Danio rerio: one gene and its partner. The protein of the gene in region 2 binds, or shares a complex with, the protein of the main gene of each other region. Links are inferred from orthologs where the notes say so. Each region holds a gene or a part of one and is shown on either strand. Other genes may lie near its edges. The genes, in order: cnot6l and cnot10.

What was found.
Region 1: cnot10 (region 2) and cnot6l share a complex: the UniProt entries of both Homo sapiens proteins name them as parts of the CCR4-NOT complex. The link is inferred for Danio rerio from reciprocal best matches to the Homo sapiens genes CNOT10 and CNOT6L.

What each region holds. Positions count from the first base shown.
Region 1 is NC_133180.1:39,699,349-39,712,633, forward strand, and holds part of cnot6l (CCR4-NOT transcription complex subunit 6-like), read right to left. Parts: intron 10,228-13,285; coding exon 10,000-10,227; intron 8,678-9,999; coding exon 8,475-8,677; intron 1,688-8,474; coding exon 1,482-1,687; intron 1-1,481. UniProt on the Homo sapiens protein: Has 3'-5' poly(A) exoribonuclease activity for synthetic poly(A) RNA substrate.
Region 2 is NC_133191.1:8,046,545-8,059,829, reverse strand, and holds part of cnot10 (CCR4-NOT transcription complex subunit 10), read right to left. Parts: intron 12,300-13,285; coding exon 12,150-12,299; intron 10,868-12,149; coding exon 10,662-10,867; intron 9,851-10,661; coding exon 9,729-9,850; intron 7,824-9,728; coding exon 7,644-7,823; intron 7,512-7,643; coding exon 7,431-7,511; intron 2,724-7,430; coding exon 2,610-2,723; intron 490-2,609; coding exon 359-489; intron 274-358; coding exon 238-273; intron 1-237. UniProt on the Homo sapiens protein: Component of the CCR4-NOT complex which is one of the major cellular mRNA deadenylases and is linked to various cellular processes including bulk mRNA degradation, miRNA-mediated repression, translational repression during translational initiation and general transcription regulation.

The DNA of each region.
Region 1 (13,285 bases), on a different chromosome or scaffold from region 2:
TATATAATAATTCATTTGATTAAATTATTGTTTCTATATATTTAAAATATTATTAAATTAGAATGTTACCATGGTAACTTTAATGTAATACAGCCCACCACCCTCAAAGTTTGGTTTTTAGCCCTTCATAAGAAAAAGTTGGGGCACCCCTGCCTTATAGGTAAAGAACAAAAAAAAAAAAAAAAACACCTAAACTAATTCGGCAACAGGCTACTGTGTTTGGAATTGACAAAAAATAATGTTCATTCATTAATTTTCCTTCGGCTTAGTCCCTGAATATCAGGGGTCGCAACTGCTGACTATTGCAGCAAATGTTTTACACAGCAGATCCCCCTCCAGCCGCAACCCAGTACTGGGAAACACCCACAAACTCTCTCATTCACACATACTCATACACACTACATAATTTAGTAAATCCAATTCACCTGTACCACATGTCTTTAAACTGTGAGGGAAACCGCAGCACTCAGAGGAAACCCACCTGATCACGGGGAGAACATGCAAACTCCACACAGAAAAGGCAACTGGGACTATCCACTGTGCTAACCACTGAGCCACCCCCAAAAATAATAATAGTTCCAAAATTATTATGATCATTTTGTACTAAATATTAGCATGATGGACTGTTTTAGTGCAGGTGTAAGTGCATGACACTGGAAGCCTTTTGCACGTTTGAGCTACAAACCCAATCTGACATTAAAAATAAGGTGGATACATTAGTATGATGATGTAATTTAGATGTCATTGCAAGACGAAAGTGAAAGCAGCAAAGGTACACAGCTGTGTTATAATCAGTAGGGCTGGGATCCTCTTTAATAGTGTCAATTACTGACTTAAGTACAAGTTTCGCATAATTCTTCACATTGCACTATTGAGAATTTTCAATTAAAAATAGATTGCTAAAAAATCCGACCTCACCACATGTTTCACTTCATGATCTCAATGCAAATCCATCAATGAATAGGGGAACTTAAATTTGTAATGAACAGGATACAGTAACTGTAATATTTGAAGTTGCATATGGGGTTTTACTGTAATTGCTTTAATTTTAAAATGTTTGATATGTCAAAAGGGAATTTAAAAGCGGATGCTGATCGAAACGTCATAATACTAGTGCTCACATTGTTATGCTAAATGATCTGTCTTCTCATAAGATACACATTTCTACCATCAATACACACGGTTAGTACAATCTCACATTTAGATTTAGACAAACAGATCGATTTCCCTGAAAGCAGTGTTCGTTTGGTACCAAACAGAGAATCCCAACCCTAATTTGGTATTAAGCTTTTGTTTTCAAATTGGAAAACATAATAATAATAATAATAATAATGATACAATCATGTGCAAAGGCTTAAAAAAGCAAGAAAGTAGGTGAGCACTTCACTCCTTAATGTGTGCGCCTATACTTTTTGGGGCTTATGATGGGGGTCTGTCCATGGTGTGGGGTTTTGGGAGAGGAAGGAAGGGGTCTGCACTACCTGTGGACAGGCAGATGCAGCCCGTTGAGGGGGGGTAAAGGCGGATGGTACTCCAGCTGAGCCAGGAGGGAGAAGTGGTCGGAGGGGATGTGAGGGTGAGGGCAGCCGGTTATGTTGTTGTCCTTCAGCCATTGTGTCTCCAATGGACCCAGAACACCCAGAACGCTCATGTGTGTCTTTGAGAAGAAGATGTAGTCAATCACACCCTACAGAAAATGTAAAAAGGGTAAAGATATCAAAATGTTGCATCCTTTCAGATTAAGTAAATTCAACCCTCTACTGCAGCAATTGTGTATTGCACAGTGCCTATAGAAAATCATCATACCCCTCTGAAATAATGACTTTATTTGTCATACAATCTGAAATCAAATCACATTCTAAATAACTTTTCCAGCCTTTTGAAGTGTTTGTGTAGCCTTCTCCTAACCTGTGCTTTTTTTTTTTTTACAACTTTATCCCGAAGGTCTTTTGAAAACAGGGTGAAATGTGAGTAATAGGGATGCACTGATCAGGATTTTTGCAGCCATTATCGAGTAGTTGAGATCGGCCGTTACTGAGTACAGATTCTGATGCTTCAAGCTTTAAAATGCATTAAGCACATTTTCCTTCTAAGTAAGATAATTAAGTGGAGTTTTCTCTTTACCTAAGAGCATAAATTAAGGATGCTGCATATAATCCTTAAACAAGTCTCTTTTAGGTGTGAACATGTCATAGTTAAAAGCAGCATTACAGAAAATAATAGACAGCACAGATAAAGAAAAAAAAACATGGTAAGAAAAATGATTAACAATACGTTTTGGAAACACTGCAAAGGAAGGAAGAAGAATTAATAATAATGATAATTCCTTACATTTATATAGTGCTTTTCAAGACACTCAGGGCTCTATTTTGACGGTCCATGCACAGAGCGCAAAACGCAGGGCGCAAACGCTTTCAGGGCTTGTCAGGACGCGTTTTTGCTAATTTAAGGATGGAAAATCTGCCTTGCGCCACGGCGCATGGTCTAAAAGGGTTGAGTTTATTTTCTTAATGAGTTATAGGTGTGTTCTGAGAATAAACCAATTAGAGTCTCATCTCCCATTCCCTTTAAGAGTCAGCTGCGTCACGCCAAGAGCGCATTCGCTATTTACAGGACGCAAAGTAAGTCTAAGTGGAAAAAATGAGCATTTCACAAGCAAACAGCTAACAGTTGACAGTTTTTTTTTAACAGAAAACTGTTAAACAGAGCATCTACTGCGTGAGAATGAGAGATAATGGAACTACTTTCACGTTCGCTCTTGGATAGGGAAACTTTACGCACAGACATCAATTAGCCTATAAATAAATACTTTTGTTTGTTAAGGCCCAATATTCATTTCAAAACTATTTCTAAATTCAGTTCTAATTTCCAGCAAACGAATAAATGAATAATAATAACAAAATGTTATATCCTAAAACACATGCTGTGCCCCATATGGTCTAAAACCTGACAGGTGGGCAAATCTAAGCTTGTTTTTAATAAAACAAATATAAATATGGATATATTAAATAACACTGCTAATAATAATAACATTATACAAAAGCAAATTGTTATGAATGAACTGAAAAAGCCTCCCGAGATGAAGAAGACATAAAAGCAGTGATCTTTCATATTTATGTAGGCTAGAAAATAATGTTTTGTAATATTTTAATCCTTTATATTTATACTCTATATCTATCCTTATTATATCCTATATATATCCTTAATATTTACATTTTTTCATATGTAAAGATAATTGCCTATTGCTCTCTTGTGCGTATTAAGCAGTGCGTAAGCACTGAGTTTAGACCGGGTTAGTGATGAAGCCAATTATGATATGGGGATGGTTATAAGGCCATGATGGACAGAGGCCAGTGGGCCAAATTTGGACAGGTTGCCGGGGTTAAACCCCTACTCTTTTTTTCGAAGGGCATCATGGGATTTTTAACGATCACAGAGAGTCAGGATCTCAGCTTAACATCTCATACGAAAGACAGCGCTCATTGAGCAGTATAGAGCCACCATCACTATACTGGGGTATTAGGACCCACACAAAGCACAGGTTGGGTGCCCCATGCTGGCCTCACCAACACCACTTCAGGCAGCAATCTAGCTTTCCCATGTGGTCTCCCATCCACGTACTGACTGGGCACAGCCCTGCTTAGCTTCAGTGGGCGACCATGTGTGCGTTGCAGAAAGCAAGCTGCTGGCAATTCAATATATCTCAATCAAGAAAAAGGTTTGGAGAGCATATTTGATGAACAAGAAGTTAAAAAGCACACCTATAAATCTAATACTTCTTAACTAAAAGTAAATAGGTCTATAAACTACTGTTTATTGCAAAAAGTAAATTACAAGAAGTTATATTATTAAATATTCATGTTAAAATGTGCTCATCTCCAGCTAACACAAATACTTGGGATCGGGTCATGAAATCTGTAAGTACAGATCGGGTCATTAAATAATAATAATACGTTTTATTTAAAGGTGCCTTTCTGGCAACTCAAGGACACTGTACAATAAAACAAGAGAAATAGAACAAGAGAAATAATATAAAAACATACACAGCAATAGTGCAGATACAATTAAGTATTAAAAGCCATCTTAACTAAGTGGGTTTGAGTCTTGATTTGAATAGTGTGAGGCAGTCAATATTTCTGATGGCAGGTGGTAGTGAGTTCCAAAGCCGGGGAGTAGAGCGGCTGATTGCTCTATTGCCCATGGACGATAGACGAACAGAGGGAACAGACAAATGGAGGGAGGAAGAAGATTGCAGGGTGCAAGACGGAACAGAAATGTGGGCAGACAAATATGGAGGGGCGAGATTATGGATGGCTTTGAATGTTAACAGCAAAATGTTAAAAATTAAAAAAAAAAAAAAAAACAATTTGAAAATGAACTGGTAACCAGCGAAGCTGCTGCAGGACAGGGGTGATGTGATGAGAAGAAGGGGTTCTGGTGATGATACGTGCAGCTGAGTTCTGGACCAACTGAAGCTTATGGAGGGATTTGTGAGTGACACCAAAGAGAAGGGAGTTGCAGTTATCTAAATGAGATGTGTTAAGGCTATGGACGAGAACAGCAGTGGCATGGGGGATAAGATAAGGGCGGAGTCGGTTAATATTGAGTAGGTGGAAGTAAGCAGACTGGGTGATGTTATTGATGTGAGAATCAAAAGATGGGGTGCTATCAAGAATGACACCCAGACTCTTAACCTGTTTAAAAATGTGATTATTAGCCGATACCGATCCCCGGCGATTAGAGCATCCCTAGTGAGTAAAGAATTAGATTTTCACAGGGTGTGATGATTTTCTATAGACACTGTATGATTAAATAATTCTACACAATTTTTGGTTAATTTCATTATTTTTTAGCGCAACCCTTAGCCCAAAATATTTTGGTACTGAATCATGGAGAAGATTATTGCTGCAATTATTAATAAACACCCATAAAACAAAGCTAAGAGCGAATCTTATTGATCAAAAATGGAAAGCACTTGAAACTCATTGATGTATTGAATCTGGTACAGGACTTGCATTATATAGTGTCTCATCTCATTTGCTCTACTTCATGTAATTACGCAATGAGTTTTCATTTCATGGGAAATTGGAAATCCCACCACTAGTTTGCCACCTCTTCTGCTTTGAACATAAATTGTGCACTAACATGTATAACAATATGTGATAATCTCTAAGCACAATATTAGCAAAAATATCGTTAGAATAAAAAAAACTTGTAAAAATAAAACTTAAGTTGATGAAAATTATAAGAAAATTAGAATTTCTAAACATTCAAAATAAAATAAAATCATAATAAAACCTAATAAAATGTATTTTTACACCGGCATGCATATATTTATGCATTGACCATGTCTTTTTAAACAGGATTACTACAGCAGATATCTTGCCTTTTAATCACATCAAGCACTCCTTGGGCCACGGGTGCAAAGAATATTCCACCTTCAAATGGTGCATGATAGTGACCCTCAAATCCTATTTGACTTTTTCTTTATTGCTATTAACCATTCCAATTGGTTGCAATGATTTATGAAAACATGCACTGAAAATTGACATTTCTGTTGCCAAGTGAAATGTTGTGCAGTAAAGGATTAATTCATTTAAATGTGTAACAAATGCAATTTTTAAAACTCAACAACAGTTGTCACTTTTAAGGTATGTACTAATGACCGTTTTTTTGCCATGTGTCAACAAAGTGTAACAAAAGAAAAAACAAACTTTCCCTGATTTTCTAGATTGTCAAAGAAAGCACATTCTGATTTTTATGTGAATGATTCAGGATGTTGCCAAGAAAACCAAAAGGACGTGACATTTACACACGCTCACTCTTTTCCATTCTGACACATTAAACGAATGCTTATTTGTTCAAGAGAATTCCGTCAGAGCTATTATTTGTACTTAAATGTCACTGTGTCATGCAAAAAAAGATATTTCTTCAAACTTTAATTTTGAATTAATTATTGAATAAATTATAAATTGTAAATAGTCTCAAATATAGGTCACTTTAAAATCTATTTAAAAGTCTTTTTAGGCCTCTTATATTATGCCTCTTTTTACAATTTTTGGTGTTCCTAAAATGTGTCTGTGAAGTTTCAGCTTAAAATACCTGTCAGACCATTTGAAAATGTCAGTTTTTGGGTCAGAGCTGTTTGGTGTCTTTGGCTTTAACTGCAAATAAGCAGTTTCTCCTGTAATGAAAGTAGAATGCAGGGTTTGGGCATGTCTGCCTAGCGACACGAAACTGATACTGATTCTGATGAAGCAGAGACCTAGTCACAAATACCAAAACTAGAACTGAATCAGAAAGTTTTTGAATGTTTTCAGAAGTTTTTTGATGTACTTTATAATTATTTGATGTGGCCTTTTTTGCAACGATAAATGGGCCACATACTGTACAAATGCACACACTTTTCTTTACAAAAAACATTTTAGAAGCTCCAAGAACATTATTGTGTGCCATAAAACTGTAAAAAATACTTTTGTTTGCCTTTGCTCATTCGTTCTTTGTTCTGTTTCACATCAGTTCAGGGTGTGCACTTGCTACAGGCAGTCTGATATATTGTCATTTTAGTCAGCAGAGCAACACAATAACATTTTATTGGTCATATTAAATGCAAACACTAATCTAAAATGGAAAACACTGATAAAAAGCAAGTTGTTTTTACTCTTTTTTTTTTTTGTGCGAATAAAGGTGTTATTGGAACTGTGCATGATTTTAGTTTAACCACTGAAGTCACATGGAATATTTTGACAGCATTTTGGGGTCTTTTTCTGGACTTTGAATGCCTGACTACGGCTGTCTGTGGAGGATGAAGGAAGCTCATTTGTGTTCAGAAGATGAGTGAAGGTCTCAGGCTATTGACACTTATTAATATTAGAAATTAAATTTTGGGTGTCACGGTGGCGCAGTGGGTAGCACGATCGCCTCACAGCAAGAAGGTTGTTGGTTTGAGCACCAGCTGGGTCACTTTGCAACTCTGTGTGAAGCTTGCATGTTCGCCCAGTGTTCGCGTGAGTTTCCTCCGGGTGCTCCAGTTTCCCCCACAGTCCATAGACATGCGCATTAGGTCAACTGAACAAGCTAAATCGGCTGTAGTGTGTGTGAGTGTGAAACAGTGTGTATGGGTGTTTCCCTGTGTTAGGTTGCAGCTAGAAGGTCATCCACTGTGTAAAACATATGCTAGATAAGTTGGCGGTTCATTCGGCTGTGGCGACCCCTGATTATGAAAGGGACTAAGCCAAAAAGAAAATGAATGAATTAAAAATCTAACCCTTTAAGTCTGAATGAGTGGAAAGTGAAGTAATAAGGGTTTCTGAAATCAATATTCCTTAGACACATGCTAGTGTAATTCACAGGGTGAAGTAAGTTGAATTTTTAAATCAGAAGATTTTTTTTAACTTTGCATATAATGTATGCACAATCTGCATATGCACTTGACTGTTTTGAGCCACTTAGATTGTCAATGAGGTGTTAAACTGAACCAGAACATTGATTTACAGCCGGAAAAGAAACAGAGATGACTAAACTAGACTAGAAACACATATAACTATAAGATTAAAATATATAACTCTATTTTAAATTAGCACAACTCTAGTTTTATCCCTTGAAGTCCACGTGAAATCGAAATTTACAATGTATATTTTGTTAGCACACATTCTTATTCTTTAGGTGAACAATAAATCTGTGCAAGATAATCGACTAAAACAATTTTGTTTTGGTAATCTTCAAAGTCTAAACATTTGCTTCCACATTTAAAGTGGCATTCATTTTTTGTTGATTGTAGCTATTGATAACCAAACCCCTATTACCGTTAGTTTACGAAGAGAGAATAATGAGTAAAAAGAAAACCCTGACCCCTACTCAACAATCCATCTTAGTCGGAAGTACAGTGACTTCCTGAAATAGAAGTCTTAGCAACTTCTGGTTCACTCTGACTTAAAACTTTTAAAAAGCAGATACTGGACAAGGATTAATCTTTCTAATGTGCACGGGTTTCCTCATGCAAGCATGTAACATGCCAACACCCTATTTTAATTCATTATTATAACAAAGGCAGTCACACTTTAATAACAAATGACACCCACAAGACAATCCACCAATCAACACATCTCAAAATAATTAGCTAAATGAGTTGGCTTTTGAATCAGACACCATCACTGAATCATTACTTATTCTCCTGGTCATGAACCGACAGTCATTTTTTGATTATGTCATTTCAATATTAACAAATGTAAATTTATTATCATGTATATACAGTGCATCATGTGAGACCTACATCATCATATTTACCAACAAGATAATCATATGATCATAAATGATTCATCTTCGCAGCAAAGCTTTGTTGAAACAAATAAAAGAACAAAAATGGCGATGTAAAGAAAGCAAGCATGAAAATCCTAAATCTCATGTTGAAACAGATGGCTCCCATAATATTTTGATTGAGATTCATTTTGATTCTGAAAAAAAAATCTCCTCACCTTGAAGTCATAAGTGTAGTTGGTGTAGGGCATGAGATTCCCCTCATAGGCACTCTTCAGCTGGAAACTGTGTGTGATACTGCCATCAGGCTTGCCGTTTTTGCCATTGCAGCTGAAGTTAGTTAAACAGTCGCTGTAGCGCAGTTCTTTAAAGTCTTTGTGATTTTCTGCAACTCCGCCATTGCTCAGATACTCCACCACACCTGCAAGAAAGAGGTCAGGAAAACGAGTGATTCTGAGACAAGAGCTTCTAATCTGAAGCAAAAAATAAAATTGGCTGTTTTTTGACATTCAAAAGATAGTTCACCCCCAAATTAACATTACAAAGCTATAGGTAGTTTTCTGCAACATATTTATAACATGTATGACATGTTATTTTCTATTTTTTTAATTTAATGGAAGTCAAAAATTTGGTTATCAACATTCTTTAAAAAATCTTCTTTTATATTCTTGCAGAAGAAGGAAACTTCAAAAATTTAAACATGTCAGTAAGATTTTTGGGTGAATTATTACTTTAATTTGGTAGCAGGCGAATTCAGTAAGCTTTGTTTATTTGATCCAATTGTAAGGAACAAAAAGGCTAATCAACAGCCACCCACTCTGTAAGTGCAATTTTATGGCTTGCTGAAATATATTAATGTCTTAGATTAGTCTTAACAAAAACTGTAAACAGTAAAGAGACAAATTTACTAACAGCTTGCTTCAATGCTAACTGTCTTTTTAGTTTTACCAAACACACACAGCAGAGAGAAATATCTCTGAAAAGGCACTGACACAGTTACTTTTTTTTAAAATATACATTTGTAAGAGTTTCCCAATTAGACACAAAATTTATAGGATGAAAGTGTTTAAATGTATAGCGCATTGCAATTTAACAACATTTGTGCTTCTCACATTAGATATTTGCGTCATTATTTAATGACTAAAAATATAAATATCACACTTGAAATGGCTACAGTTGTTGTTACCAGGAGAAGACAATACAGGGAACACAGAGCGCATGGTATAAGACTTTTTTTACCCCACACATATTTATTTTGGAATGCCAAAGGAATACAATCGCTCAAATATACTGTTTGCCAAATATGCTATTTTGAATTTGTTTTAAGAAATAAGAGACTACTGGGAAGTAACATCTGAGTCACACAATACCAGCATGATCATGGTTCCCTAAGACAATGTGCAATGTGTTCTCTTTGTGCCTGAAAAGCATGCATCAGATATACTGTAGCTAGTTGTAAGTAAAAATAAAAAGTGCCTTGTGGTCACTCACATTCCTGTCTATTTTGTGAGCATGTCCATTCTTTGACCAGTAAATTTTTTTAGTAAATATTTGGCACAAGGAAATTTGCCACTATTCTAATTTGCACTGTCAATATGTAAATGAGATGTTATATCTTTGTTCTCTAATTGTAGATTCAGTGCTGTTTTGCAATAATGCTCTTGCGTAAAATTGCCCTACTTGGTAAATCTGGCCCAAACATTCCAATTTATTTTCAACATGCACCTTTTAAATATGACTTACCAGAATCTGGGAGGGAGTTGAGATCAGCACACAGGACGATAGGGATAGAGCTTGTTTCTGATGTGGGTGAAGAAGAGTTGATAGATCCCGAGGCCCTCTCAGCGATGCTCTTGAGCTCAGACAGGAACATCATAGTCTGGATGAGCTTCACATCCGAGTATTCTGGATCCCAGTGCATGTGGGCGTTAGCTACAAGCAGGAGCTGTTTCTCTGGAGGTGGCTTTAAGCCTGCAGTACAGTGCCAGGAAAGAAAATGGGATGAGAATATTCTAATAAATAGTATTAAGATATATATACTAGGAGTTGTTGAAATCTTGAATTTGATTGGCTGACGAACAATCTAAGTCTGGGCTTCTCAAAGTTTGGACTCTTTTCGATTTTATATTCAAGAGCACTCTTATGTGTAAGTGAACGAAAGTGTGAATTTCATAGACCTCTGAGCTTTTGGCCACTCCAGAAGCACTTCAAAATGAATGACCATACCCAGAACTAGCGCTTGACATTAATCAAGAATTACACCCTATTTTTTTTTCAAATAGTTTTTTTAAGTAATAAATAACCTTTCTTTTGTTTGTTTGTTTGTTTGTTATTTATTTTTGTTGTTTTGTGTTTTCTCTACTCAGTGCACTTGGATGGTATCTCTTACCAATGTAATATATTTAAATATTGAATATTTTTTTTCTTACTTTATTTGACCTTTGCCACTGAGTGTCTCAACTGTTTTGCTTTTATAAATTGATATTGTATTTTAAAACCAATAAACAAATAATAATAATAATAATAATAATACAGAAAGTGTGCATTTACTTCTTTAATAAACACGTGCTAAACATGTAATCTTGTTTTTTGGCGATGGTCTATAGTGAAAGCGAACTGATGTGGCGCTGTTTTTCAATGTATGATGTTTACCGTAATTGAGAGACACTCTTCAACACAGTGAGCGTTTGAATGGTAAGAATGCCAGTTTCCAGAAAAGAAAAGTCAACAAAAAAACTTTGAGTTTTTAAAGACGATTCATTGGACAGAGAGGTATGCATTGATTTTGCTCCAATCCAGCACAAAACTGTTCTCTTTAATTAGAAATGAGATATTTAAACTTATGAAGAGTGAAAATGTCAAACGGCACTATGAAAGGTTTAGCAGCAGCTGGAATACAGGCAGAGTTATGTCTCACACAGCATTGTATTTTGCACCATGCTACTTTTGAGCTATACCTCAGGTTGTGTTTTGTTCATAAAAATTGCTGACAATTAAATTAAGTTTCAGTTCTCATCTTGCCACTTTTGCACTTGCTATAATAGTATATTTAAATGCAGACTTTTAAAAGGTTAATTAATGTATATGCATGTTTATTTAAAACATGTTCTGTGCTAACAATGTTTTACAGACATTTTTGTCATCTATGAAAATTCAGATTCGGGACTTTGAGAACCCCTGCTCTAAGGTGTGCTCTAAGGTCTTTGGGCAATCCACAGCTACAGTTCCAGGCTGGTTTTGAAAGCATCCTAGTTCCAAATCACTATGGTAGAAAACCTGATGTCTTGAAATACCGAATGAAGCAGAATGAGTTCTGTAATTTTGTAATATTTGAATAAGATTTTTTATTATTAAGGTCATTGCTCCTAATTCTGAGGAAGGCAAGAGCTGAAATTGAAAACAGGAAACTCCCGTTTTCAAAAAGCAATCAATATTGCAATCTTTTGATTACACAAAATATTGTATATTTATTCCACAGAAAAATAGATGAATATGCTGAAAAAGATTAAATAAAGCAGAACTAGGGAGTTATCTGAACAACTGCTGACAATTGAACACATTTAAAGACCTGAAGGCAGTTCAAAAGTTGAAATACATCCAATCAACCAAAAGTATGCAAACTGAAGAATTGTTTACTTGGGTATAATAGAAATTTAAGCTGTTATCACTAAAATCCAACCTACAGCACTGAATTCAGCTTTGTACTTTTATGTTTATGTTTGACTTTTTGACAGCCATAAAAGTGATTTCCTTTGATTTACAGCTGTCTTTAAAAAATGGCTACGGATGAGTTTTTATTTGAAGAGCAATTACTTGAAGACATCGTTCAAGCAAAAATCTAAATTTAATCAAAATGTACTCACCATATACTTGTTCCAAACCTGTTTAATTTTTTATACTTATAATATAGTTAGAATAATGTTGGAAACCAGTAGCCATGGATTTCCATAGCGTTTTATTTTACTATACTACAGATGTCAGATGTTATATTATACTCAAGTGGCTACTAGTTTCCAAGTCTTCAATTTATATTCTTTTGTGTTCAACAAACAAACAAACAAAAAAAAAATCATAAAGCTTTGGATTCACCCAAGGATAAGTAAATGCTAAAGAAATGTAACTTTTTGTGGAAACCATCCCTTCAACTTGATACACATAAGTAGAAATAAATACTATTTATTAGATACATTGCATGTGTGCAAATGCTACAAAATGTTTAATCATTTGTTGACTCCAAATAAATTCTACTATGTTTTAATGCACTGTGTTGCTTTTTGTGATCTTAAATTCATTTTCAGGGACAATAGTTATTGCTGTCATCCCATGTAAACAGTTTAAACTTTGTGATCTGCTTCCACCTACAGGCTAAACATCAGCATTCAGCAGCCTGTGGTGGACATTCAACCCGACCAACATCCAAAGCTGAAATACATTATTGTACATATTTAAATACCATTTTGTCCTAAATTAAGCTTAAAGTCATTTTGGTGTGGACATGACTAACAAATAGAAACGTGATAAAATGTGCCGTGGTGGCCATGTACCATTTTATTAATCAAAGAATACCATTCTTTCCTTGGCCTCTAGTTTAAGTGTTAGGAAAATTGCTCAGTCTATTTTATGTGCATGTTTTCATCTGAAAGTTCATTTTTAGAGTCCTCATCTGTAAGGGGGCTATGAGATGTGTCCTGCTAGATGTTAAACAGACATTTATAAACTAAATAAAAAGAATATTATAATATTTAAATAAATAGTAATTTTTCTTTTTCGAGCAAAAGCATAATTTATTGTGTTCTTACAGCCTTTTTAAATGTTTATTTATGACAAGTTCAACAACATTGCTCAAAATATTTTAGGCCAACTAGTCTACCCAATGTTGGCTAGAGCATAATCATTTCTTAATTTCTGCAGGAATTTTACCAGGAGTTCACTTTATGCAGCATTTAGATTAGGCTATAATTTTTTGTTAGGTTAAATTTGCTTTTCATTCACTGCTAAATTTTAAAGTGAAAAAATTACTGCCTTTATT
Region 2 (13,285 bases):
CATAAAATAAGAAAAAAACATTAATAAACATTAATAAATATTAATAAACATTAATAAAACATTAATAAACCTACTATATATAAATACTATAATAATAAATACTAAATACACTACTAAAATCATAATTTGTAAACGTTAAATTATGTAGTTAACTAATGTTGACAAATAAAACCTGACTGCATTGTTACAATTTCCATTTTAAATAAACTAAAACCACAAGAATCAAATGTGACTTACAGGACTCCACAGGCTCCAGATCTCCTTTATCAGAACCTGTCATTAACAGCACACGTCAAAAAATCACACACCATGTACATGATCATTTATAGATTTTGATAATGCCTGTGTGTATCAATACCTTGGTCCTGTTCGCTGGATGACACCCCTAACGAGACGTCAGTAACGTTCTCCGGGTTGAGATGTGCAATAGCATCAGAAATCCTGTCCAGCGAGATCAGGGCTTCAGCAGCATATAGGTGACCCAGGAACCTGAGACACACAGACACACAACCACAACTCATTAAAAATTGATTATAGATCAGCTGAATACATTGTTTAAAGCCATTTCTTAAGACAAAGACTAAAGCTAAACTGACTGCTTTATGCGCACTGACTTCAAGCGTTAGTTTAAGCTTCATCTGTGCCTGGGAAATCGAACCAATACAAACAAACAATACTTGTACATGGACAACACTAATTTTAGTATATTAAGATGATTAAGAAGAAAAAGATGTGAAGAAGGTCGAAATTAAATCGATTAATCGCGATTCTGAATCGAATCCTAAAAGTTCAGAATCGATTCTGTATTTAAATTGGATTGCAAAGAAAATAATTAAGTGCTCTGACAGACATGTATGTATTCTGCTGAATTCGCTTATTTTTGGACAAACTTAAACTCAGCATGAACCGGAAACTGAGACTATTTTTAGTTTTTTTTTTTTTTTGTTCTGTGATAAAGAAATTGCTAAATTAAATGAGAAGACGGTGGGTGTGGCTTGTTTTTTCTACTGCGTGCTCATTGGATGTAGAAAAGTAGGCATTTAATTAAGAAAACTTTGGGAAAAGGGTTTGGGGAAAGTCATTACAACCTAACAGACACCCCCTGCTCACCATTTCTGTTGTCAAAACTGACAGTTGGAGGGGCGTGGTTAAGTATGTTAGCCACGCCCAATGCCTCAGACAGACGTAATCTGAGACTTTATCTAAAAACAAACATATAGTGTCTTCAATTTCGGATTACAAGGGCATTTTTTTTTTCTTAATGACATGCACAGATGAATTGTTCACCACAAGCCTAGCAATGTGAGCTCACAAAATCAATATGGTTAGTTTTGATTTCATGTGTACTTTAAGGTTGTTGAACATGTGCTTTATTCACTGTATAATTTAAACATTCTGATTAAAGAGCCACGAATAAATATCTCACTTAGATTTTCCGTTTGATTGCATTAAATAACAGAAGTGTCAATTTAAAAATGCACAGATCTACAATGAAAGCATTACTTTCCTAACTGTAAATAGCAAATGTGCCATGGCTCGACGCAACTAACTCTTAAAAGGGAAAAGGAGATAAGACTCTGATTGGTCTATTCTCAAAACACATCCAGAACTCATTAGAGAATAAGCACAACCCTGTTAGACCATGGGCCAAGTGGGTTTTTCCATCCTTAAAATAGCAAAAGTGGATTCAGACACTCCCTTAATGCTTTTGCATCCTGAGCTTTAGATTCTGTACCTATTAAAATAGAGCCCTAAATGTTTCAAAGTAACGACACAATATTTCACGTGTACCATATAGTGTCATAAATTTCCTACTTCATTGTTTCTTAAGCATGTGTAGTTGTCAAGCATGTCCTTAGTAATCTTTTTTTCCAATACTTTGCATGCATTTAAACATATTTTCTGTCTATTTCTAAATATGTTTGGTGACTAAAATATTATTTGAATAAATATATCTGTTTAACTAAATGCGTTTTGTTCAAATGCACCAAAATATATGACCTATATTCCCTGAGAAATGGAATGAATACTCATTTTCGGGTTGAGCCCCTGATGTATTGTCAAAAGCCCCTGATCTTTTGGAATATGTTGCACTTAAAAAAAAAAATAGGTTGAATAACATTTATTTTGTTATCCAAGTACTTAAAATTACCACATACATTACATGCATTGCACTTAATGCAGTTTTTCTGTCGGGTACTTGTTTCTACCGTCAGGTAGGAGTGGGACTGTTGTCGCAAGTCAAATGTTAAAAAAATCCCACCATCATTCATTCATTATTTTGAGAAGCTGAAGATGATGAGGTAATAATACAACTGATTCTCTGAATAGTTTTAACTACTGGTGAAGCTTAACGTTTGTTTTCACAAAAAAAGCGTTTAGTGATTTTAGTTCATCCCAAACACTGACCCCACCAAAAAAAAAAACACAAAATTGTGAAAATGAAGTGGTCAGGCAAGGTGGGACCTTTTGTTTGACTGGTTGAACCACATAGCAAACGCCATGTCGCTCAGGGTTGTCTGTTTTAGGAGGGCAAATATTTGCTGAATGTTGTGAGAGCAGGACCCATAAAAGAGGTAAATCAGCCAGAAATGGAGAGACGGACTCACTTGAGCGATCCTGACAGTTTTGCCTGATGCAAGAGCTTTTCTGCGTGGTTAAGAGCCATTAAGTTGTCCCCAAGAGCAAGTGCCACATACGCACTGCAGGCTAGAATGGAGCACCTTTGAAGAGAGAAGCAAGCAGATTAAACCATTTACAACCAACAAAATAATTTCACAGAATTTAAAGTGACTTTTCACAGTTCTTTCTGGTAAAGAGAGTTATACCAGAGTAACCAGAGTATATACAGGAATCAGAGAGTAAAATACCTTTTGCGACCTCTTTTAAGATTCTTCCCATACATTTTAAGACCTTATAACCACTTTAGGTTTTAAGCGGAAACACTGGCGAGATTTTAGCTTTCATATTTACTAAATATTATGTAAGAGACTAATACAAAACTAAACATTATTCATATACTGAAAAGAAATCTAATTAATCTAGCTAATACAGCAGGTTGGCGCATATAAAACTGCAGAAATAATGGTGTTGACTTTATTACTGCAGTAAACAAAGCAGCATGATGTCAAATCTAGTAGGATTTCATAAACTACGCAGCATCCTGATATTCGAAGATTTAATTCAGGCGAACTTTAGCATACAACCATACATTGCATAATTGAAAATGATATAAAATGTAATACTTTGCAAAATAGCATTTAAGACTTTAAAACTTTTAGGGCCTTAAATTTCTCTACATTGGTTTATTAACTTTTATTACTTTTTAAGACCCCGCGGACACCCTGTATACACTCTGCAAAGTTCAGTGTTGGACAATTTCAACAAATCCAACCACAAGAATTGCCAGCTGCCTCGAAAATCGAATTTAAGGAAGGTTATTTTTTTTTTTTTGCAAAACATCCACAATATGGTAATTACAGGAATTAATACACATAGGCAAAAAAGCTAATATCAGTTTATGTACATAAAATTCAGTGATTGCCTCACAGCACGAAGGTCGCTAGTTCGAGTCCCGGCTAGGCCAGTTGGCATTTTTTTGTGAAGTTTGCATGTACACCCTGGTTTCCTCCGGGTGCCCCCATTTCCATTCCCATGTCATAAAGCGTGAATCATCTCAGACAGGTTTCTTAAACATGACAATGAGTTCACTGTACTCAAATGGCCTCCACAGTCACCAGATCTCAATCCAATAGAGCACCTTTGGGACATGGTGGAACAGGAGATTCGCTTCATGGAAATGCAGCCGACAAATCTGCAGCAACTGCGTGATGCTTTCATGTCAATATGGAGCAAAATAGTACCTTGTTGAATCTATGCCACGAAGGATTAAGGCAGTTCTGAAGGCAAAAGGGGGTCCAACCCGGTAGTAGTATGGTGTACGTTATAAAGTGGCCGGTGAGTCAAAATGATTGGCTTTCTTGTGAATTTTGTTTCTTTTACAAACATAACCCAAATTAAGTTTTACAGAGCAAGATTTATTTCACAGTAAGTCTGATAATATTTTTTCTTCTGGAGAAAGGCTTATTTGTTTTATTTTGTCTAAAATAAAAGCAGTTTTTAATTTTTGAAAAACATTTTAAAAAATCAAACCATCGCTATAGAATAACTTGCCTAATTAACCTAGTTAAGCCTTTAAATGTCACTTTAAGCTGAATACGAGCATCTTTAAATATATCTAGTAAAATATTATTTACAGTCATCTTCACAAAGATAAAATAAATCAGTTATTAGAGATGAGTAATTAAAATAATCATATTTAGAAATGTGTTGAAAAAAAAACTTAACTTAAGTAAAAATTGGAGAAAAAATATACAAGGAGCTAATATTTCAGAAAGGATTCATATATATATTTATTTTACATTTTAACAACTGTAATATTGTTCAAAATAATCTGGTTTTTCAATGTCCCTGCAGGTGAATCTAGATGAATTTAGATGTTTTATATATTAACAGACAGTAGTAAATGCACATGAACTTGTGTGTGCATCAAGGTGAAGTTGAACATGATAGGCTAATTTCCTAAATGCTCAACTTTGTTGCTGATGCTCCGTAAGAGGGTATGAGTAGGTAAAGAATAGAGTGCAAAACAGAGAAATACTCAGTGCTCTGAGCGGCTGCCTGTGACACAATAGGTTTCCAGGAAGAGCCCTTTGAGTAAATGCTGCCAGGGGCTCGTAAAAGTGTCAGTGTATCAGGGTGTCAGTGCAGGGTCAACACAATCCACACTCCACACCCCTTCCCTTCACAGGGACCTACATCCGGCCAGCCCTCTGGAGCAGACCGTCCCCCTGTATCAAAGATGAGGGGGAAGGGGACCGAGAGCAGGATGGAGGTGGGGTGGAAAGTCTAATCAATTCTCAAGGCAAAAAAAAAAGCAGATTGCAAGGGTGAACAGTGAAGTGTGTGTGTGTACAATAAGAAAGAGAGGTGCATTGTGAGCTAGTCAAGGAAACAAAACCTGTTGTCAGAGGAAACTAACAGAGTAAAAATAATGGAGGTTAATTGCTTTACTGAAGTTACCAAATTGAAAAAAAAAAACACTGAAAATTTTAAATGCGCTTTTTATTCTCTTAAAAAAAGAGAATTTAGCTTTCTGTGCTGACAAGTGCCCTCTTGAGGACTGCTTTTTATATAAAACACAAAAATGCTTTGCTTGCTCAGTATTTTTGCCTGGTTTTACAATATAAATATCAAACATTACTTAACAATGTTAATGTAAATATGAATCAAAAGCACTGTAAATATGAGCCTAAATTAAGTGAGAAAAAGATAAAAATGTCTGGCTGAGATTTGCTCTTCAGGGTTTGGACTTTCAGCAAAAAAACAACTCTGAAAACTGGACTGGCGCATTTTACTAGAACTTCTCTGTTAATTGTAACTTCTATGTTATGTTGCTGACAATATACATTGTAAAAGCGCTACAGAAATAAAATTGAATTGAATAATTGTGATTTACAGAAAAATGGATAGCTAATTAAAAAAAAGTTATAAATATAAATTATCTAAATATAAATTACATATATATATATATATATATATATATATATATATATATATATATATATATATATATATATATATATATATATATATATATATATACACGGGGCTTTACATTAACACCCGCCAAATGCGGGTAGATATTGGTTGAGGCGGGTTGGACAGCCACTCCCACTAGCCACTTTGGCTGGCTAAAACTAATTTTTAAATTGCCAGTGCTGGCTCGTCGTCACTACAGAATACACTGTTAGTTTATGTCCATTTGTCTATTTGTGTACAAATGTGATCTTAGAATCGAGAAGCAGCACGACTGACAAAACAGCTTTTCACACAAGCAAAAGAAAGCAGGTGAATGAGAGGATCACGCACATGGTGAGACAGGCTTTTCACACTCACTGACGAGGGCTCTAGTGTTGTGCGCACAGGTGATTTGATGCGCGCCACTGTTTAATAGCTCCTGTGCAGTTTCCTCAGTCGAAGCAACTATGCCTGAAAATGAAACTAGTCCGATGCTTGTGCACCCACAGTCCTTCAAGAGCTCGAGATTTTTTGTAAGCAGCAGTTGTTGTCGCTTTTGCTTTAACCATTCTTTGTACAGATTATTAATTGGCCAACCAATAACCGTGTGCGCGGCATGATCTTTTCATTATTGCGCACAGAATGTTTTTACCAGCTTTCTTTTGCTTGCTGTTATTTTTGTTAATATAGTTTAATAATCATCCTTTACAATAATATTGCTTTAATATGTTGTTGTATGCATAGTTAACAGAACAGACTGTTGTGACTATCCTTGTTCAATGTTTCAAATTTGTCACATCTTGGATCTGCTGAGGCGTTTAGACGCTTCCTTTGCAAATAAAACATAGAACATCAAGTCTTAATTTGTTGCTGTTTATTGCAGAGGTAGTTGAACAAAAAACTGATATGAAATAAACAAAATCAAACGAATTTGGCCATCAAACACTGAAGGTAAGGTCTAAAGACCATGTGCTCCCAGCAGGCCCTTCTCCAGTAGGCCACACCCAGGCCTATGCACAACTGTGCATAGTTTTAGATGCGTGAGAATATATATATTTTTAAATGTCAGCTGTTTTGTTGAATAAAAAGTGTATGTATACAGCAGTGTTTTGCTTGTTTTGACACATTATTTAAAATTTGTGGCAAGGAAATAATTAGTTTGGTGTGGCCAGAGAAAAAAAAAGTAAATCCGTATTGTGTTGAGCACTGAAAAGTCCTGTGAAAGAAAACTAATTTCAATGCGACACTTTTTTATGAAAGCATAACTCATTTGCTCATGCTCATTGAGTAAGCTTACAAAGAAAAAAAGTTAAATGAATGAGGAGGCAAGTGGAAACAACACAAAATCTAAATGAAGTCATTTTAGCACGCCGCAACTCATGCCAAAGTCAAATTTATGCATATAAAATATATTATAATGCATATGCATATGCATAATATATCCAACTACAAAATTGTGGCCAGTGAAAATGGCGAGTGGCTGGTAACGGTGGAAAACTACTAGCCACAGTGGCAAGCCATGTATGTATGTATGTATGTAGACAGATATATTTATATATGTGTGTGCGTGTGTGTAAATTATGTGAAACTAAGCTTAAAACAAGAAATAAAAATATCTAAATTAGGCTTAATAATTTTCAAAGGGGAAAGTATATTTTAAACCCTTCATATGACATATTTTATGGAATATTTTGGGAAATTATACTGGAAAAATAAGCAAATTTCTTTTAGCAGTGACATACATAATTTATCAAACAATTGGTGGAGCTAAATCAAATGCGTTTAAAAGAGACCATTTTACCTCAGGCCTTTTTTATAGCAAGTCCATATAAAGTCTCCTGTAAGCTCACCTGAGATTCTCCACTTCCTGCTTTCTCAAGGGCGATGAGGGGGCAGCAGGAATGAACTTGTCCCCTTCCTGGGTTTTCCCACTGTCAGGCAAATAAAAAAAAAAATGATGGTGAAAAGAATGTATCTGACAAGTTCTTCATTGTGTTCAGTCAATTCAGGTTACTTCATGATCAGTTATTTTCAGTGCTTATGTTGCATGGATGTACAGGTACCTGCAGGCGTCGCTGGTCTCGCTGCCGCTTTCTGTGCCGCCTGACTGACTGTAGCTCTTGGAGCCGTTGTCTGGTTTGCTGTCGTGCTGTTGATGCTCTGGCAGCAGGAGTAAAGCATTCCGCAAACAGATTGCTGCAAATTCCATACTGGCCACTGGGATAGCTGCCGACTGCGCCTCGCTGCACACAAACACAAGCAGATGGGTCCATTGGTTTCAGGATGGTTAATGGATCAGAATTGTTTCTACTGATCTTTGATAAAGTAAGAAGCTTTAAAAGAGTAAAGTTTACCTAAAATTAAAGTCTCACCCTCAAATAATTCAAAACCACTACAAGTTGTGCTTTTCTTCTCAAAACAAATTAAGATATTTTGAAGAATGTTGGACAGTCACATTATGGCAAAAAAATACTATGGAAGTCAATGGATACTGGTTACTTACATTCTTTGAAAATTTACATTTTCTTCAAAATCATTAAAAGTTTTGTTTTTTCTCAATAAGAAATAAGATATTTTGAAGAATGTTGGATAGCCACACAGTAAGGCAAAAAAATACCATGGAAGTTAATGGATACTGGTTTCTTACATTATTTAAAAATATATATTTTCTTCAAAGTCATTAGTTGTATTTTTCTTCTCAATACGAAATAAGATATTTTGAGGAATGTTTGGACAGCCAAGTAAAATAAAAATAAAAATATGAGAGTCAATGAATACTGGTTTCTAACATTCTTAAAAAATAAATTCTTGTGTACAACAAAGAAAGAAAGAAAGTCATGAGGGTTTGAAAAGCGAGTAAATGAGGACAGAATAAGTAATTAAATACATAAAAACCACTAACCATCGACTTTCATAGTATTTGTGCTTTTCCTTCAATGGAAGTCAATGGATACTAGTTTCTTACATTCTTGAAAAAAATTTAAAAAAAAAAAAAAAAAAAATATATATATATATATATATATATATATATATATATATATATATATATATATATATATATATATATATATATATAAATTATTTTCTTCAAATCCATTAGACATTTTATTTTCTTCTCAATACAAAATAAGATAATTAGAAGAATGTTGGATAGGCACATTATGGCAAAAAATATACTATGGAAGTCAATGGATACTGGTTACTTGCGGTCTTTAAAAATATATATTTTCTTCAAATTCATTACAAGTTTTGTTTTTTCTCAATACAAAATAATATATTTGAAGAATGTTGGAGAGCCACATTATGGCAAAAAAAGTCAACGAATACTGGTTACTTACATTCTTAAACACATATATTTTCTTGCATTCAACAGAGAATGAAAGTCATGCGGCTTTGAATCGCGAGTAAATGAGGACAGAATAAGTAATTAAGCAAATAAAAACCTGTAACCATCGACTTTCATAGTGTGTTTTTTTCTCCTTCAATGGAAGTCAATGAATACTGGTTTCTTAAATTCATTAAAATATATACATTTTCTTCAAAATCATTAGTTTAATAATTTAATAATTAATAATTCTGATTTCAATGGTATATTATAGTAATATTATAGTAATAATATATTACAGTAATTATAATATATGAATAAATAATAGCTTTCATTTGATGAAAAAGCAAATATGTATTAATATTGTGCTTAAATAGGAAACTATTTGGTACAATAAATTATTATGAAACTTACACAATTGCAATTTCAAGTTGTTTCAAGTACTTTATCCAAAAATTAAAGTATCAAAGTACTTTTCAAACCTTTACAACACTAGATTAAAATTCAAGCATATTCAATGTATGCCTTGTTCAAAGAGTACCCATACAAACCCATTACATAAAAGTTTTGGAACAATAAAGGCTGAGTAAAAGGCCAACTATCCCTTTAATGTCTTTGAATGTTATTTGTTCTGAGAGAGAAAAGAATAAGTGCAAAAGGATGACATCTTCTGGTGAAACCCTGTCACTACAGTGCATCATACAGTGCATGAATTGGAAATCGCATCCCTCCAATCAGGCAGACACAATCTCAAGCAGCTACATTTTGTAACTCCATTAATAATTAGCAAAATCATGGTTCATTAGTCCAAAATTATTAATACCTGTAGATGGTGTTTTGTGTGGACTGTGATGCTAGAACAATCTTGCGATGGTAGCCCTGCCCAACAACCGCCTGCACGATGCCCTTTTTACTGGGTAAACCTTTTGTTTCCTGCTCCGAACTCTAAGAGGAAACAAATGAAGGAAAGGTTATTAAAATAAATATGAATGTCAAATATATTTCAAAATCATCAATATACTACAAAAAGGTGTTTCCAACTTTAACAAATCTGGTCATACCAAAATAATTTTAAAAACATGCAAATGGTTTTAAGCATTTGACGTGAACAGACTTTAAATACGACAAAAGAAGTATGTTTCAATTTCTATTTCATTCAATTTCTTTTCTGCTTAATCCCTTTATTAATCAGGGCTTGCCACAGCGAAATGAACCACCAATTTCTATTTGATATGTTTATATTTCTGTTTCAAAGTTCAAAGTTTTATTTTAAGTTCAAAATAACAATATTTAAATAATAAAAATTAGTAAACACTAAAAAAAGTTGTTATTTTATAGATTTAAAAAAAAAATAGTTCAGCTAAAAATTATTATTTACTCACTATTTACTCACCCTAAAGAGTTTACAAACTTTTATAAGTTTGAAACAAAAGATATTCTGAAGAAAGCAGAAAACCTGTAACCATTGACTTCCATAGAATGAAAAAAAGTACTATGAAAGTCAATCGTTACAGGTTTTTATTCATTCTTTAAAGGATCTTCATTTGTGTTTAACAGAAGAAAGAAACTGAAACAAGTAAAGAGTGAGTAAATAATGATTGAATTTTAATTTTTAAGTGAAATATCCCTTTAATGACACTTTTCTAGGTATAACTATTACCCCCAAACTTTTGAATGGAAGTGTACTATTTAGAGGTTGGGGGAGTCTTTCATGTAAAAACAAAAACAAAAAACAGATGTGGGTTAATGTCTGTACCCCTTTATTAGCTGTGATGCAGCACTCTGCCAGTCTTAGCCAGAGTCGAGGGTTGGAGTGATACACCTGTACAGCCTCCATCAGACACTCAAACGCTGCCAGCGGTCGGCCAATATGGAGTAGCTGAATCCCGCAGTTATACAGCAGCTCATAGCGCTTATTCGCTAACAGAGCACACATGGGGATACCACTGAACTTCTTAGATGCTATGGGGGAGGAAAAAACAATGTTAAATACGAGGCTGGGAGAATATGCAATATTTCTTACAATACTAACTTGAAAAAAAAATTATTTATGGTATGATCATACTAAAATAAGCAGGTAATTAATATTTTTTTCTGAGCTAATTGAATAATACAAGGTATTTATTTTATTTAATGCCATGTCAGCAACCCAGGCCATTTTCATGGCAAGAACATTTCAATAATAAATGTACAATTAAAAACAACAAAAAATGCATTCTTTTTAAAGTTTTTGTAGAATTTCTTTGTAAAACTATTTGATTTATTTATTATTTTTATTTTATTTATTATAATTTTTTTATTCATCTTTTGAAGTCTACCAGGGGGATGGGCGGTAGTGGGTTTTAAACAAACAAAAAACAAACGAGCACATAAATTAAATAAGATTTTAATATAGGATAAAAATTCTAAAGTGTGTCACTTTGTTAAAAATGGTAAAAGTACCGTAATTAATACATAGACTAAGAAAAATCTGAAAATATAGCGTAAGACCAATTTATTTGAATAAATTACCAAACCAAAACATTTTTGAATGCTATTTCATCTTTATTTTTTTAAGTATGCCATAAAATATTTCATATTTTCATTTAACATGTTGCTGTTTTGTTATTTTTTTTACAATAAAAGCAAAATCAAGTTTAGTAGTGCAATGGGATTATGTTTGTTTATTATTTTTGTGAATCAACAACGCTGTGTAGTGTAAACTACTATTTAAAATGGTCATTTTTAAATGACTTTAACAGTCATTATTGAAAACAGTCAAAACATGGTCAACCATTTGGTGGAGCAGGCAATTAAAGGCTTAAAATGTTTTATTTTTTATTTATTTTTTTAAGTAAAACTGCTTTTATTCTAGTCGAAATAAAACAAATAAGACTTTCTCCAGAAGAAAAAAATATTATAGGAAATACTGTGAAAATTTCCTTGCTGTTAATCATCATTTTGGAAATTAATAAAAAAATAAATAAATAAATAAATAAATGTAAAATTTTTTTTACTTTAACAGTCAAGGTTTAAAACTTAAAGACTTTAAAAATGACTGAAAACTTTAGCGGAAATAAACAACCCATGTATACAGCACACAAATGCTTGGCACAAAAATATATTTAATTGTAAGTGATGTATTACATATACTATTATCACAGTATTGATATTTTTTCAATATATCCTACGCCTGTAATGTTAACTAACAAACTTGCAAGATATCCATAAATCACAATTTGTCCTCAAGTCCTGATCATCTTACCCTGCGCATTACTGCCGTCGCCAATCTGGGCGCATGTGTGGTCATTTTCTTGAAGTGCTTTTTTAAAGTAAAACAGACCAAGGTTGTGCTTCCCCATGGCAAAATGGATACAGCCCAGGTTATTCCAAAACATACACCTCACACATTCACCTTTGGAAAGTGGAGAAAAAAAAGCACAAGCACAAACATCAGAGAGAGAGAGAAGTTTTAACTGGAATTTTTTTTTTAATAAGCAAGCTATGTTACTAAGAATTTATGCAAATTGTATTTATTGTAAATTGTATTTATTAAGATGTATGCTAGATATCACGTTATGGAACATATTTACATTTTTACATATATAAAGACAATAAGAATCTGTTTTAGTTGTTCCCTCTGTTTAGCTTAAAGAGATTGACAGTAACTTTAAAGGTGCTGTATGCAAGTCTTTGAATCTTGTAAAGCATAAAAATACCATGATATGTTTGCAGATATTTAAGAAACATCCTAAGTGAACATTCTTTTTTATCTGAAAAACATTGCTTAAGTCAGATATTCTGCTATGAAAATGTGTGTAACGTGCTGGAACAGTGTCTTTGTTTTGGTTCTTTTAACCCGAAACACGACAGAAATTTAAATACAGCAATTCAGAAGCACAGAATTGTGCACTTACTGCACTCCGTCAAAAATGTACTCCAACGAAAGTTAATTTTCAAATGATTAATTTTATTTCCAAGATCTGAGGTGAACTATCTGCTGCTGCTTTCAGTATATAGCAATAAATGTCAGGTAAAAAAGCATTTAACACTGAATACAGCACATGATGTGTACCTGAGGTAATAATTTTAAGTTTTCTGTTGTTCAGATGCAAGAAATAGAAGCGGTTTCTAATATATCAATTGGAGGTGTTGGTTAGAACAAAAACTCCTTTTAATATGGAAAATATTCCTTCCTTCCTGCCGTTGCTTTTATATAGAACACGATTGAAATCAGCCTTTAGGCTCGACAGTCAGACTCCTGTTGGTCTCCAATCTGGCAACCTGCGCTTGCATTTGTTTTGATCCAGAAATGCAATTCCTAGTTCGGCAACTGGGTGTCGACGTTACATATTGCACCTTTAAGCATTCTGTATTAGATGATTTATAGAATTTAACATT